Linked DNA regions of Caenorhabditis elegans. The protein of the gene in region 1 purifies or fractionates together with the protein of each later gene. This does not show direct contact. Each region holds a gene or a part of one and is shown in the gene's direction. Other genes may lie near its edges. The genes, in order: gbf-1, gly-3 and pfn-3.

Region 1 (3,753 bases):
TTAGAGATTTTGTGATTTTTCAGGTTGAAACTACTTAAATTCGCTTTTTTACACTTTTTTCCTGAAATTTAAACTGAAAATCAATTTTTTTTGCTTTTTTTTGTAAAAAAAAATTGCTGAATTTCAGGTTTTTCCCACCATTGTCGCGGAAAATGGCTCTAAAAATGAGGCAAAAAAACCAACTTTTTTCAATTTTTCAGTGAAAATTAAGTTTTTTAACATGAATTTCACGATTTCCAAGCGAAAAACCAACTTTTGCAGCTATCCGTTTGCACAGAAGCTCCTTAGGCTTCTGCGGATTCACACATCCCACTATATCTCCGACCTGGACGTTTTTATTGCGAATACCTGAAATTTCAGCCACTTTTATGTGAAATTTTCATTCAAAAAACTCCTACTAAATCGCTCGGCGAGCACCAAATCACCGTCATGAATCGTCGGATGCATCGATGGACCACTACAGATCACCATTTCCCCGATGTACTTGCTTATGCAGTGTCCGACGCAGTAAAAAGCGGCGGTTCCTGGAATTTTTGGGTTTAAAATGCAGTTTTCGGAGGAAAAATTGAGAAAAAACCTTTTGTAAACCTCCAGAGAAGCTTCAAGCCCTTTGATTTGACCATATTTGTCAGAAAATCTGGAAAAAGATGTGTTTTTCTCAAGTTTTGACGCTTTTTTTAACGGAGAAAACACATTATTCATAGAGTTTTCACAATTTCGGCATGACTTTTTATGAATTCACACTAAAACCAGTGATTTCTAACGATTTTTAGGTGAAAAATTGAATTTCAACACTTTTTAAAACATTTTAAGAGCGAAAAACAAAAATAATAAACAAAAAAAAATCGAAAAACATTCTCGCTGTGCATTCTGCCGTGGCGGTGTTTGCGTACAAAACACCAGAAAACGGTGCACGTGACGTGTCGTTTTCACTTGATTTTATCGCTTTTCTCTTCCGGATTTCGCAAGAAAACCTCAATTTCTCCACGTTTTCAAAGCCAAATTTCTTGAAAACTTCATAAATTTATAGGTTTAATTAATAATCGAGCCAAAAAATCCAATTTTCAGCCAAAAATCCACTTTTCAGCAGAAAAAATCCACTTGTAGCAGAAAAATCAAATTTTCAGCCAAAAACTTCAATTTTCAGCCAAAAATCCACTTTTCAGCAGAAAAAATCCACTTGTAGCAGAAAAATCAAATTTTCAGCCAAAAACTTCAATTTTCAACCAAAAATCCACTTTTCAGCAGAAAAAATCCACTTTTAGCAGAAAAATCAAATTTTCAGCCAAAAAATTCAATTTTCAACCAAAAATCCACTTTTCAGCAGAAAAAATCCACTTTTAGCAGAAAAATTCAATTTTCAGCAGAAAAAATCAATTTTCAGCCAAAAAATCCACTTGTAGCAGAAAAATCAAATTTTCAGCCAAAAACTTCAATTTTCAACCAAAAATCCACTTTTCAGCAGAAAAAATCCACTTTTAGCAGAAAAATCAAATTTTCAGCCAAAAAATTCAATTTTCAACCAAAAATCCACTTTTCAGCAGAAAAAATCCACTTTTAGCAGAAAAATTCAATTTTCAGCAGAAAAAATCAATTTTCAGCCAAAAAATCCACTTGTAGCAGAAAAATCAAATTTTCAGCCAAAAACTTCAATTTTCAACCAAAAATCCACTTTTCAGCAGAAAAAATCCACTTTTAGCAGAAAAATCAAATTTTCAGCCAAAAAATTCAATTTTCAACCAAAAATCCACTTTTCAGCAGAAAAAATCCACTTTTAGCAGAAAAATTCAATTTTTAGCCAAAAAATCTAATTTTCACCCAAAAAAGCCGTTTTCAAAGCCAAATTTCTTGAAATGTTCATAAATTTATAGTTTTAACCGTTTATAATCGAAATAATTACTTCAGAAGGTCGTCGTCAGTGTAAGATGGCGACCAACGGCGTCTACATCGTGATGGGCGAGGCGAATTGTGTCGTCGCGCTGCTCAATAAGGCTCGGAGGTTTGTTTCAAAAAAATTAATTTTGCGTTTTTGGAATTAAAAATTAATACTAAATTCCAGACAATACCAACTGTCACAAGTGCCGACGCTCGAAGACACGGATCCACTGCTGCGAAACTTCACAGATCTCAAGGAAGTGCTGAATGAGGTTGCCGATCTGGCAGATATGAATCCACAAACGTATCTATCACCGTTTCTCGACGTAATAAAGGCTCAGAACACGAATGGACCGATTACGGAAGCCGCGCTGGCCGCTGTCGCCAAATTTCTGAACTACGGGCTCATTGACGCGAGCAGTATTAAGGCGGCGAACGCTGTCGAGTCTATCGCCTACGCTGTGGTTCATACAAAGTTTATCGGCGGGAAAAGCACTGGAAGTGATGAATGTGTCCTTTTTAAGATTCTACAGGTACCAGGAGTGCTGAAAATTCATGTTAAAATGTGAAAATCTAAGAATTTCAGGTCTTTTTCTCAGAAATTCGAGAAAAAAGGTCAATTTTCATAAAAAATCAACGCAAAATTTGCTAGAAATGTGCCAAAATTTCATTAGAAGTGCAAATTTGGATGAATTTTATGTTATTTTTACCGTTTTTCAATTATGAAATTTTAAAAAATTTTTAAATTTTTTAGCGATTTTTGGCTTCTGTAAAATCTAAAAAATCGCGAAAAATACAATATTCATTTGATTTTTCATATTAAATGCATTTATGCATTTTTTCATGCATTTTTTTATTGGAAAAATGGAGTTTTCAAGTTTTTTTTCTATGGAAATTGTGAAAAATCCACAATTCTATAGACAAAAGAGAAATTTGTCATTAATTAACTTGAAAATTCCATTTTTCCAATAAAAACGCTTGAAAAAAATGCATAAATGCATTTAATATGAAAATTTAAATGGATTTCGTATTTTTCGACGTTTAAATTCTAAATTACACGGAATTTCTAAAGTTTTCACAATTTCGGCATTACTTTTTCATGAATTTAAACTAAAACCAGTGTTTTTTAACGATTTTTAGGAAAAAAAATTGAATTTCAAAACTTTTAAATAGTAAAAATTTTTAAAAAAATTAATTTTAGTCCATTTTTATCCGATTTTCTCGAATTTTCAGAGTTTTTAGCCAATTTTTAGCCAAAAAACTTCGTCAAAAATTCAAATTTCTACCAGAAAACCTCCAGAAAAATACCCTAAAATCGCAGAAAATAGGAATTTTTTAGGTTTTTAACGAAAATAAAAATCAATTTTTCATGGTAAAAATTAAAAAAAAAATCGATTTTCACTCCATTTTAATGCATTTTTATCCGATTTTCTCGAATTTTCAGAAATTTTTAACCAATTTTTCATTGAAAAAAAACACCTAAAAACTCCCAAAAACCATGATTTTCAGGTTTTTAACGCAAAAAATTTAATATGAAAATTTAAATGAATTTCGTATTTTTTCGCGATTTTTTAGATTTTACAGGCGCTGCTAAAAACCGCCGAAAGTTCACAAAAAAAAACTCCAAAAACCTGATAATTTCTAAAAATTTCAAAAAATCTCAATTTTCCAGGTGCTCCGCTCGCTGCTTCTCTCCCCTCCAGGCATCCTTTTGTCTAATGAAGCCGTCTGTGATATGATGCAGTCTTGTTTCAGAATTGTGTTCGAGCAGAACCTCTCTCTGCTTCTTAGAAAGGTAATTTTGCTGAAAAATCCCAAATTTTCAGCCAAAAAAAATTCAATTTTCAGCCAAGAAATTCAATTTTCAGCCAAAAAATC
Region 2 (3,753 bases), 3.9 Mb from region 1:
TCAGCTTTCAAAGTTTGACTCCTCAGACTCCGAATCTTTACCAGTTGTAGATCTTCAAAGTTCTGATGGCTTATCAATTACCGAATTTCTTAAAAAACCATCTGGAGTTGTTCGATTGAGTACTCCAACAAAAACAACTTCACCTATTACTCCGGCTTCTGCTTCAACATCCAGTTTGACATGTCTTTTTGACAAACCTGCGACGGTAAATATCTTCTATTGATGTTTAGAAATTTTAGAATAACATTTTCAGATCCAACCAATGACCGTTGCTCAAATGCCGATGTCAGCGTTCCCAGCAAATGCAATTTTCGCTGCAGGACCCACGGACATCTCATTACGGCAACTTTCATTAGACCCGATGCCCGATTATATGTATGCAAAGTTGAAAGACGAATGTGCTCTGCCTGATTCTCAACTGGAAAGTTCTCCTGATTTTGGAGGGTGAGACTTTTTTTTTTGATTTGAAAAAATTTAAGCTAAATATTTGAAAATTTAGATTCTACGCGGCTTTTATCGATGATCGTTGGGAACGTGTTCAGTGTATTCGTGCGAGTAAAATTGGTAGGTATATTTATTTATTATTTTATTTACTGTACCAGGAAATTTTTGAAAAAAAAATTTTCGAAAATTACTGTACCAGTTCTCGACACAACAAATTTTCATTAAATACAAGAGGCTGTGCGCTTTTAAAAAGTACTGTAAATCAAAAGATCTCGTTACTTTGGAATTTTTATAGTTTTTCGTAAAAATGTTTGAAATTACAGTACTCTTTAAGACGCACACATCTTTTCATTCAACATAAATTTGTCGCGTCGAGACCGAATACCGTAACTTTGAAAAAAATTGCAAAAATAGTTTTGTAATATTGAACTGTGATTTTGGAAAAATTTAAATATCCTGTTCAAAATTGCACTTTTGAAAAAGTAAATAAAACAATTGTGAGTTTCTCAGTATATCTGAATTTTTCGCACATTTTTCCCAAAAAAAAAAACAAAACATCTACAATCTTGCTGAGTATTATACCTTTTTTCCTTGAAATGTCCATCTTTTTTTTTCAGACAAACAAGCCTATTGTGTATATCTTCTGGATGTGGGCGCTTTCCAATACGTGCGAAAAGAAGCAATGCGACGTCTCAACTCCACGTCACCATTCAAAAAAATGCTGATGTTCAAGTGTAAAATCGGAGGAATCAAACCAGTTGCTGGAGGAGAAGTTTGGAGCCGCGAGTCACATGAAGCTGTTCGAGAATTCTTTGAAGCAGCATGTGGTGAACCTGTTGTGGTAAGTCATGAAAAGAATACTTTCAAATGCAAATTAATTATTTCAGGTTGAACCAACTCAGCCTGGATGGTCTCAATGGAAACAATTAAATGCTCCAGCTGTTCCAACCTGTGAAGCTCGTTTATCTTGTTGTGGTAGAGATATTGGTGACTGGCTCATCGCGTGTGGTTTGGCTCTTCCAATAAATGCACCAATTCCAAGTCCCAATTCACAGTCACTTCTTACTTTTGTTCCAACACCAATTAATATTGTTGGCAGAAATATTTGAATATTTTCTGATCCGTCTTCATTACAAAGCTTCTAATCAATTTTGTGCTTTATTTTTTTCTAATTTTTGAATATTGTATATTTTCATAATTCCTCAGTTTTGCCGATTAGTAGTCTTTCTCTGAAAATTCAAAAATATTTGCTCAGTTTTCCACTTTTCTCTTCAGTTTTTATTCTTTCTAGTTTCATAATTCTGTGATAATTTCAGTTTTATTGTCTTTTAATTATTTTTGTGCTTCTCGTATATTTTGCTTGTTGGAATAATAATTGTTAAAAAATTTTAAAAAATTTGTTCACGGTTTATTAGTTTTGATATAAAACGTGTTCAAATAGACACGTATTAATATTTTTATTTGAATTTTTAAAACCATTTTTTTGTATTCTCTATCACAAAAGTTATCATGTTTTCAATTTTCCAGTACTATTCAAGAAAATTTAGCCTTGTTAAATAATTTTGATCGGAATTTATCTTCTTTTTTCCCCTGAATTTTTAATCATTCTCTAATTTCAGAGTAATTGAATGCTGAGTGTGGGCGGTGGTCGTTCGGCAGTATGTCGTGCTGTCATTGCCACTTCCATCGTCTGGTTGCTCATTGATGTTGTTATTCTTTTTTACTATCTCGATCCATCCACATCACAACAACAGCCATTTCCGGAGGATAACAGGTATTCTATTAAAATTATTTACATCAACTAATTGTTATCATTTTTAAGAATCTTGAATCGTGCTCGACGGATAGAACCACTACCACCAGCAGCTCAACATGATTCAGATCCAGATGCTCATCCTATTCAACCTGAAAAACAAGAGAAACAAGTTTACCCCGTTGACAAAGAAACTGCAAATCAATTGAGGAAACTTATGGAAAGTGAGCTATTGCAAAATATAAAAATTTATATTTAAACAATTGTGTATTTCAGCTCAAGCATTTGGCCCAGGGTACCATGGACAAGGAGGTACTGGAGTCACAGTTCCAGAAGACAAAAAAACTATAAAAGAGAAGAGATTCTTGGAGAATCAATTCAATGTTGTCGCTTCTGAAATGATTTCAGTTAATAGAACTCTACCGGATTACCGATCAGATGCATGCCGCACGTCTGGAAATAATTTGAAAACTGCTGGAATGCCAAAAACTTCCATTATTATTGTTTTCCATAATGAAGCATGGACAACACTATTGAGAACACTCCATTCGGTTATCAATCGATCGCCACGTCATTTATTGGAAGAAATTATTTTGGTGGACGATAAGTCTGATCGAGATTACTTGGTCAAACCGTTGGATTCCTATATCAAAATGTTCCCAGTAAGTTATATAAGTTGAATTGTAAATTGCGACTTCCGAAATACAGTAACCCTAGTTCTTCGTTAAAGGATGGAGACAAAAAATTTCCATCTCAGGGATAGCCAGAACACAGAAAATTTGAATAATAAAACGAAAATTTTTCGATTTTTCGATATTAGACTTAAACAGACAACCTTTTTTCAGATTCCAATCCACTTGGTTCATCTCGAGAATCGATCCGGTCTAATCCGTGCTCGCTTAACCGGATCTGAAATGGCGAAGGGAAAGATCCTTCTCTTCCTGGATGCACATGTGGAGGTTACCGATGGATGGCTTGAACCACTTGTATCAAGAGTCGCTGAAGACAGAAAACGAGTTGTTGCTCCTATAATTGATGTAATTTCTGATGATACCTTCGAATATGTGACTGCTTCCGAAACAACATGGGGTGGATTTAATTGGCATTTGAACTTCCGATGGTATGCTGTACCGAAGAGAGAATTGAATAGAAGAGGATCAGATAGATCAATGCCTATTCAAACACCAACTATTGCCGGTGGTCTTTTTGCTATTGATAAGCAATTTTTCTATGATATTGGAAGTTATGATGAAGGAATGCAAGTATGGGGTGGAGAAAACTTGGAGATATCATTCCGAGTCTGGATGTGTGGAGGTTCTCTTGAAATTCATCCATGTTCTCGTGTTGGACACGTTTTCCGCAAACAGACTCCATACACTTTCCCAGGTGGAACAGCGAAAGTCATCCATCATAATGCAGCACGTACAGCAGAAGTTTGGATGGACGAATACAAGGCATTCTTCTACAAAATGGTGCCAGCCGCCCGTAACGTTGAAGCTGGAGATGTTAGCGAAAGAAAGAAGTTGCGAGAGACGTTGCAATGTAAATCATTCAAG
Region 3 (3,753 bases), on another chromosome or scaffold:
ACTTTATTTTGCTAATTTCTTTGTCACAGTTTATTGTTAATTTATGACATTGACAAAAACTCTTTTCTAAAAACTAAATGGGGTCATCTTTTCGATCAACAAATCAACTGTACCAACTCTGAAATTTTTGAATTTTTTTGTAGAGCTTAATTTTTAAAACCAAATTTCATTGGGTGCCCCAGGAAATTTTGTTTTTTCGTACCGTGTTAGTAAAGATATTATGATCCAAATCGTTTTTTTCCAGTTTTTTGGCACATGAACTTTGAAAACGAAATATTATTATTTCATCAAATTTTATCTAGATTCAATTTTTAGGCTGACGTTTCCTGTTGAGTGGACGCCAAAATGAGCCGTCCTAAAAAGCATCCTTATGTTTCAGCGTGCAAGCCGCAAATCAAAAATTCGACATTGATCTCATTAGACACTTTCCTTGCAAATCAATCAATAGTTTTTGAAATTTCGATGGCCGTCGGTGAGCGGGGCTATCCGTTTCCCTTTCTCTCTCTTGAATGTTTTCGTCGCGTCAGTGGAACCTGCAGATAAAGCAAATGAGAGAAAAAGACATAGAGCAAACGACAGCTTTACACTATGATTGTCGAGTTCTGCCCCGGGGATAGGCTCTCCTCTGCCACAGCGACTCCTCTCCCGCCCTTCATCTATCTGCGGTACTTCATTCCCCCGTACACTGTTCCAATCGGCGCGCGCTCTCTTCAGGATCAACACACTGTTCTCACACACACACACACGGGAGGCAAGGAGACAAACTGGTGTCTTACGGCTATTGAGCGGCAATTCAGTCTTAGTCTCACATTTTATGTCCAACAGAGGCTCAGCGAGCAACGAACCCCACGCAAATATCTTCCGATCTCTTTGCGTCCCGGTTTTGAAACGAACGTTTATTGAAACTTTTTGAAAGTTAGATTTCTCACTTTTTGTTAATTTTTTCGAATTGTTTTTATTTATGACGTCTTCCCCATATTGCCGTATTTTCTGAAAATATCAAAAAGTGGTAAATTGCAAAACTGACCAAAAATGAAAATTTTGTTAAGAAATAATTTACCTGCTGTGGCTCTAAAGTCTTTTATATATGTTTTTTTCGAATACTACATTTAATGTAACAAAACTGGTGTGCGTGTACGTGAAAATCTTGAAATTTAGTAGGCATCCACTTTGAGGATAATTTTCTGAGGAAATGCCAAAAATCAGCACCCCAAATGATATCATGGCCGGACATCTACCGGGATTCGGTCTTGCAATAAGCTAACTCACTACTGATGGAAGCACAATGCGGAGCGTAACCCGGTAGATGTCGAGTCATGATAACACTTCTGGTCCCGGTTTTTACAGTATTCCTAAAAGTAACTATCCAATTGTGGGTATTTCAAATTTAAGGATAAAAATACTGGGCCTATTCTTTCTATCTTTTTTTGAATCTCAGACAGGTTTTAGATTTGAGACCTTTCTAGTTAACCTCAATAATTAAATTCTCCAGTACTGGTAACAAGAAATCTCAAGGTTTTTTATTTGCTCTGTAATTCTTGGCTCAAACTCAAACTTTCACTGATTTCAATATTGATGTTAAGCACCTGGTCGTATTAATTTAATGTTGCTATAATGCTTTGTAAAAGTTGAGAAATTTGAAGGTGGCACAAATTTGTAGAAAATTTTACGTCATTTTCTAAAACAAAACTGCTATAAAAATAACTGCCGCTTTCCATCTAAAAGTATCCGCTGAAAATTCTAATAATATTTTATAGACATCGAATTACCTAACAACGAATTATAAAAAAAATTTTGTTGTAAAACCAAGTTTTAGCTTCTATAAAACCAAGTTTTAGCTTCTCCTAAGCAGGTAGTTAGACCTGATTTCATAATCGTTTACCAGACATGCGATCAGATATCTAATCAACATGTGTTCATTACTCATCTCTCCAAACTGCTATTTCAAAATAATTTCTTCATGATTTTTTGGAAAACGTCAGAAACCAAGCGTCATCTGTTTCCATATCTCTCTCTCTTTCTCCCACGCACTGCACAATTGTGCCCCGTTTTCCACGTTTTGAGCTTCTAGACTTTCACTTTTACTTTCAAAGTTTTCAGCACACACAAAACGAAAACATGTCGTGGTCTGATATTATCAACAATAACCTTATCGGGTCTGGAAATGTGAGCAAGGCTGCCATTCTTGGATTCGACGGAGCTGTATGGGCAAAGAGTGATAACTTTAATGTAAGTTTTCAAAGTTTTTAAAATTGTCAAGTTGCCAAAATCTCGACTTTCAGTGGCATGATCAGCTTGTGATTGGTGTTAGAACTTTTTTGAGATATTAAAACTGGAAAGGACTTGCAATTTTCTTAGGCTAGAATTCTAGGTATTTCTCTAGGAATGCAACTCCTGGTCGATACACCACCTCTCTTTGAATCTCATCTCTGATCTAAAAACACTGTAAACTTCTATCAAAATCTATATTTTGTCTGCACCAGTTTTGAAAGATTAGTACATGGTGCATTGACAGATAATGAACAAATACCGCCTGCGTGAGTTTTGTTACTGAAAGCATATTTAGCTTGTTATAAAAATAGTCTTCATGTAGGAAAGGTGTGTTGGTGTACTGTAGAAGTACTTTAGTGTTACTATTGTTCAAAAATACGTTTTATCTATTGAAGGAATCGTCGGTGAAGATGGTGTAGGAATATTGTAGTGTAGGATTATTTTAGTCCTAAAAATAAGGTTTCGTTATTTTTTGGAAAACATAAGTTGAGGCTAGAGTCGGGGCACTGAGCACTGTAGTAGATCAAGCAGTACAATTTGAATAGTAACGTATTTCCAGATCTCCGTCGAAGAAGCCGTCGCCGCAGGAAAAGCCTTCACCTCCTTGGTACCTTTTGCTTCTCTTAATATCATTCTCACCCTCTAATTTTCAGGATGCTCTTCTTGGAACCGGCCTCCGCTTGGAAGGACAAAAATTCTTGGTCCTCAACGCAGATAATGACAGAATAATTGGAAAGCAAGGAGGATCTGGATTTTTCATCTACAAAACTATCCAAGGTGAACTAACTAGGATTACTAGACTGATTTAAACAATCTCTGAAACTTTTAGCCGTTATTATTTCCATCTACGAGAAAGGACTCCAACCAGAAATGTGCAGCAAGACCACCGGAGCCCTGGCCGATTACTTCAGGTCCATCAAGTACTGATCACAATTCCCGAAGCCTCCTGCCGATTTGCCATCCATGTTTGCATTTTTTTTTTTGTATTTTTTCATTTCGTTTCTTTTTTATATAAATAAATAATGAAATAAATATTTATCTTTCTCAAAATTCAAAAAAATAGCAACTCGAAATAAATAATATGAGGTGAAAAGCAAAATAAAGCGGGTGGTTTGATTTCCGAACAAAAAAAGTCAAGAGTGATATGGAAAATAAATTTGGGAAGATGTCATATTATACAGTTTTTGAATTGGGTCCGTGTAGCTTGAAGTTTCCGAAGTCTCCACCTCGTCAGCGTCCAGGTCTGAATTTTTTTTTTGATAAGAACAATTGTTTGAATTCTAGAAGTCTATAGTTTTAGCCCTTTTGGTTCAGCTATCCGGGACTGACCAACTGAACAATTATGTAAAAGTATAGTGAAGCTTAGGCCGATCTTGCTGCAAATTTCGAGTTGGGCCTGCATCGCCCGACACCTCACCGGTTATACAAATCTATAGGAATTCACCTGGCATGGTTAGCCGACACAAGCACGGACCGTATCGG

The links.
Region 2: the proteins of gbf-1 (region 1) and gly-3 fractionate together in Caenorhabditis elegans (co-fractionation; one large-scale study listed by BioGRID). This does not show direct contact.
Region 3: the proteins of gbf-1 (region 1) and pfn-3 fractionate together in Caenorhabditis elegans (co-fractionation; one large-scale study listed by BioGRID). This does not show direct contact.

What each region holds. Positions count from the first base shown.
Region 1 is NC_003281.10:11,771,834-11,775,586, reverse strand, and holds the start of gbf-1 (Golgi-specific brefeldin A-resistance guanine nucleotide exchange factor 1 homolog), read left to right. Parts: upstream 1-1,905; 5' UTR 1,906-1,925; coding exon 1,926-1,999; intron 2,000-2,059; coding exon 2,060-2,408; intron 2,409-3,547; coding exon 3,548-3,670; intron 3,671-3,753. Other genes in the region: immp-1 (Peptidase S26 domain-containing protein), read right to left, coding at 254-348, 399-524, 578-623. UniProt on the Caenorhabditis elegans protein: Guanine-nucleotide exchange factor (GEF) for members of the Arf family of small GTPases involved in trafficking in the early secretory pathway; its GEF activity initiates the coating of nascent vesicles via the localized generation of activated ARFs through replacement of GDP with GTP.
Region 2 is NC_003281.10:7,916,078-7,919,830, reverse strand, and holds the start of gly-3 (Polypeptide N-acetylgalactosaminyltransferase 3), read left to right. Parts: upstream 1-2,063; 5' UTR 2,064-2,072; coding exon 2,073-2,218; intron 2,219-2,266; coding exon 2,267-2,421; intron 2,422-2,473; coding exon 2,474-2,859; intron 2,860-3,042; coding exon 3,043-3,753. Other genes in the region: Putative protein tag-250, read left to right, coding at 5-205, 254-444, 500-564, 1,062-1,285, 1,332-1,553.
Region 3 is NC_003284.9:1,078,991-1,082,743, reverse strand, and holds pfn-3 (Profilin-3), read left to right. Parts: upstream 1-2,094; 5' UTR 2,095-2,118; coding exon 2,119-2,229; intron 2,230-2,830; coding exon 2,831-2,878; intron 2,879-2,924; coding exon 2,925-3,048; intron 3,049-3,100; coding exon 3,101-3,198; 3' UTR 3,199-3,314; downstream 3,315-3,753. Other genes in the region: LIM/homeobox protein lim-6, read right to left, coding at 3,405-3,514. UniProt on the Caenorhabditis elegans protein: Binds to actin and affects the structure of the cytoskeleton. At high concentrations, profilin prevents the polymerization of actin, whereas it enhances it at low concentrations. By binding to PIP2, it inhibits the formation of IP3 and DG.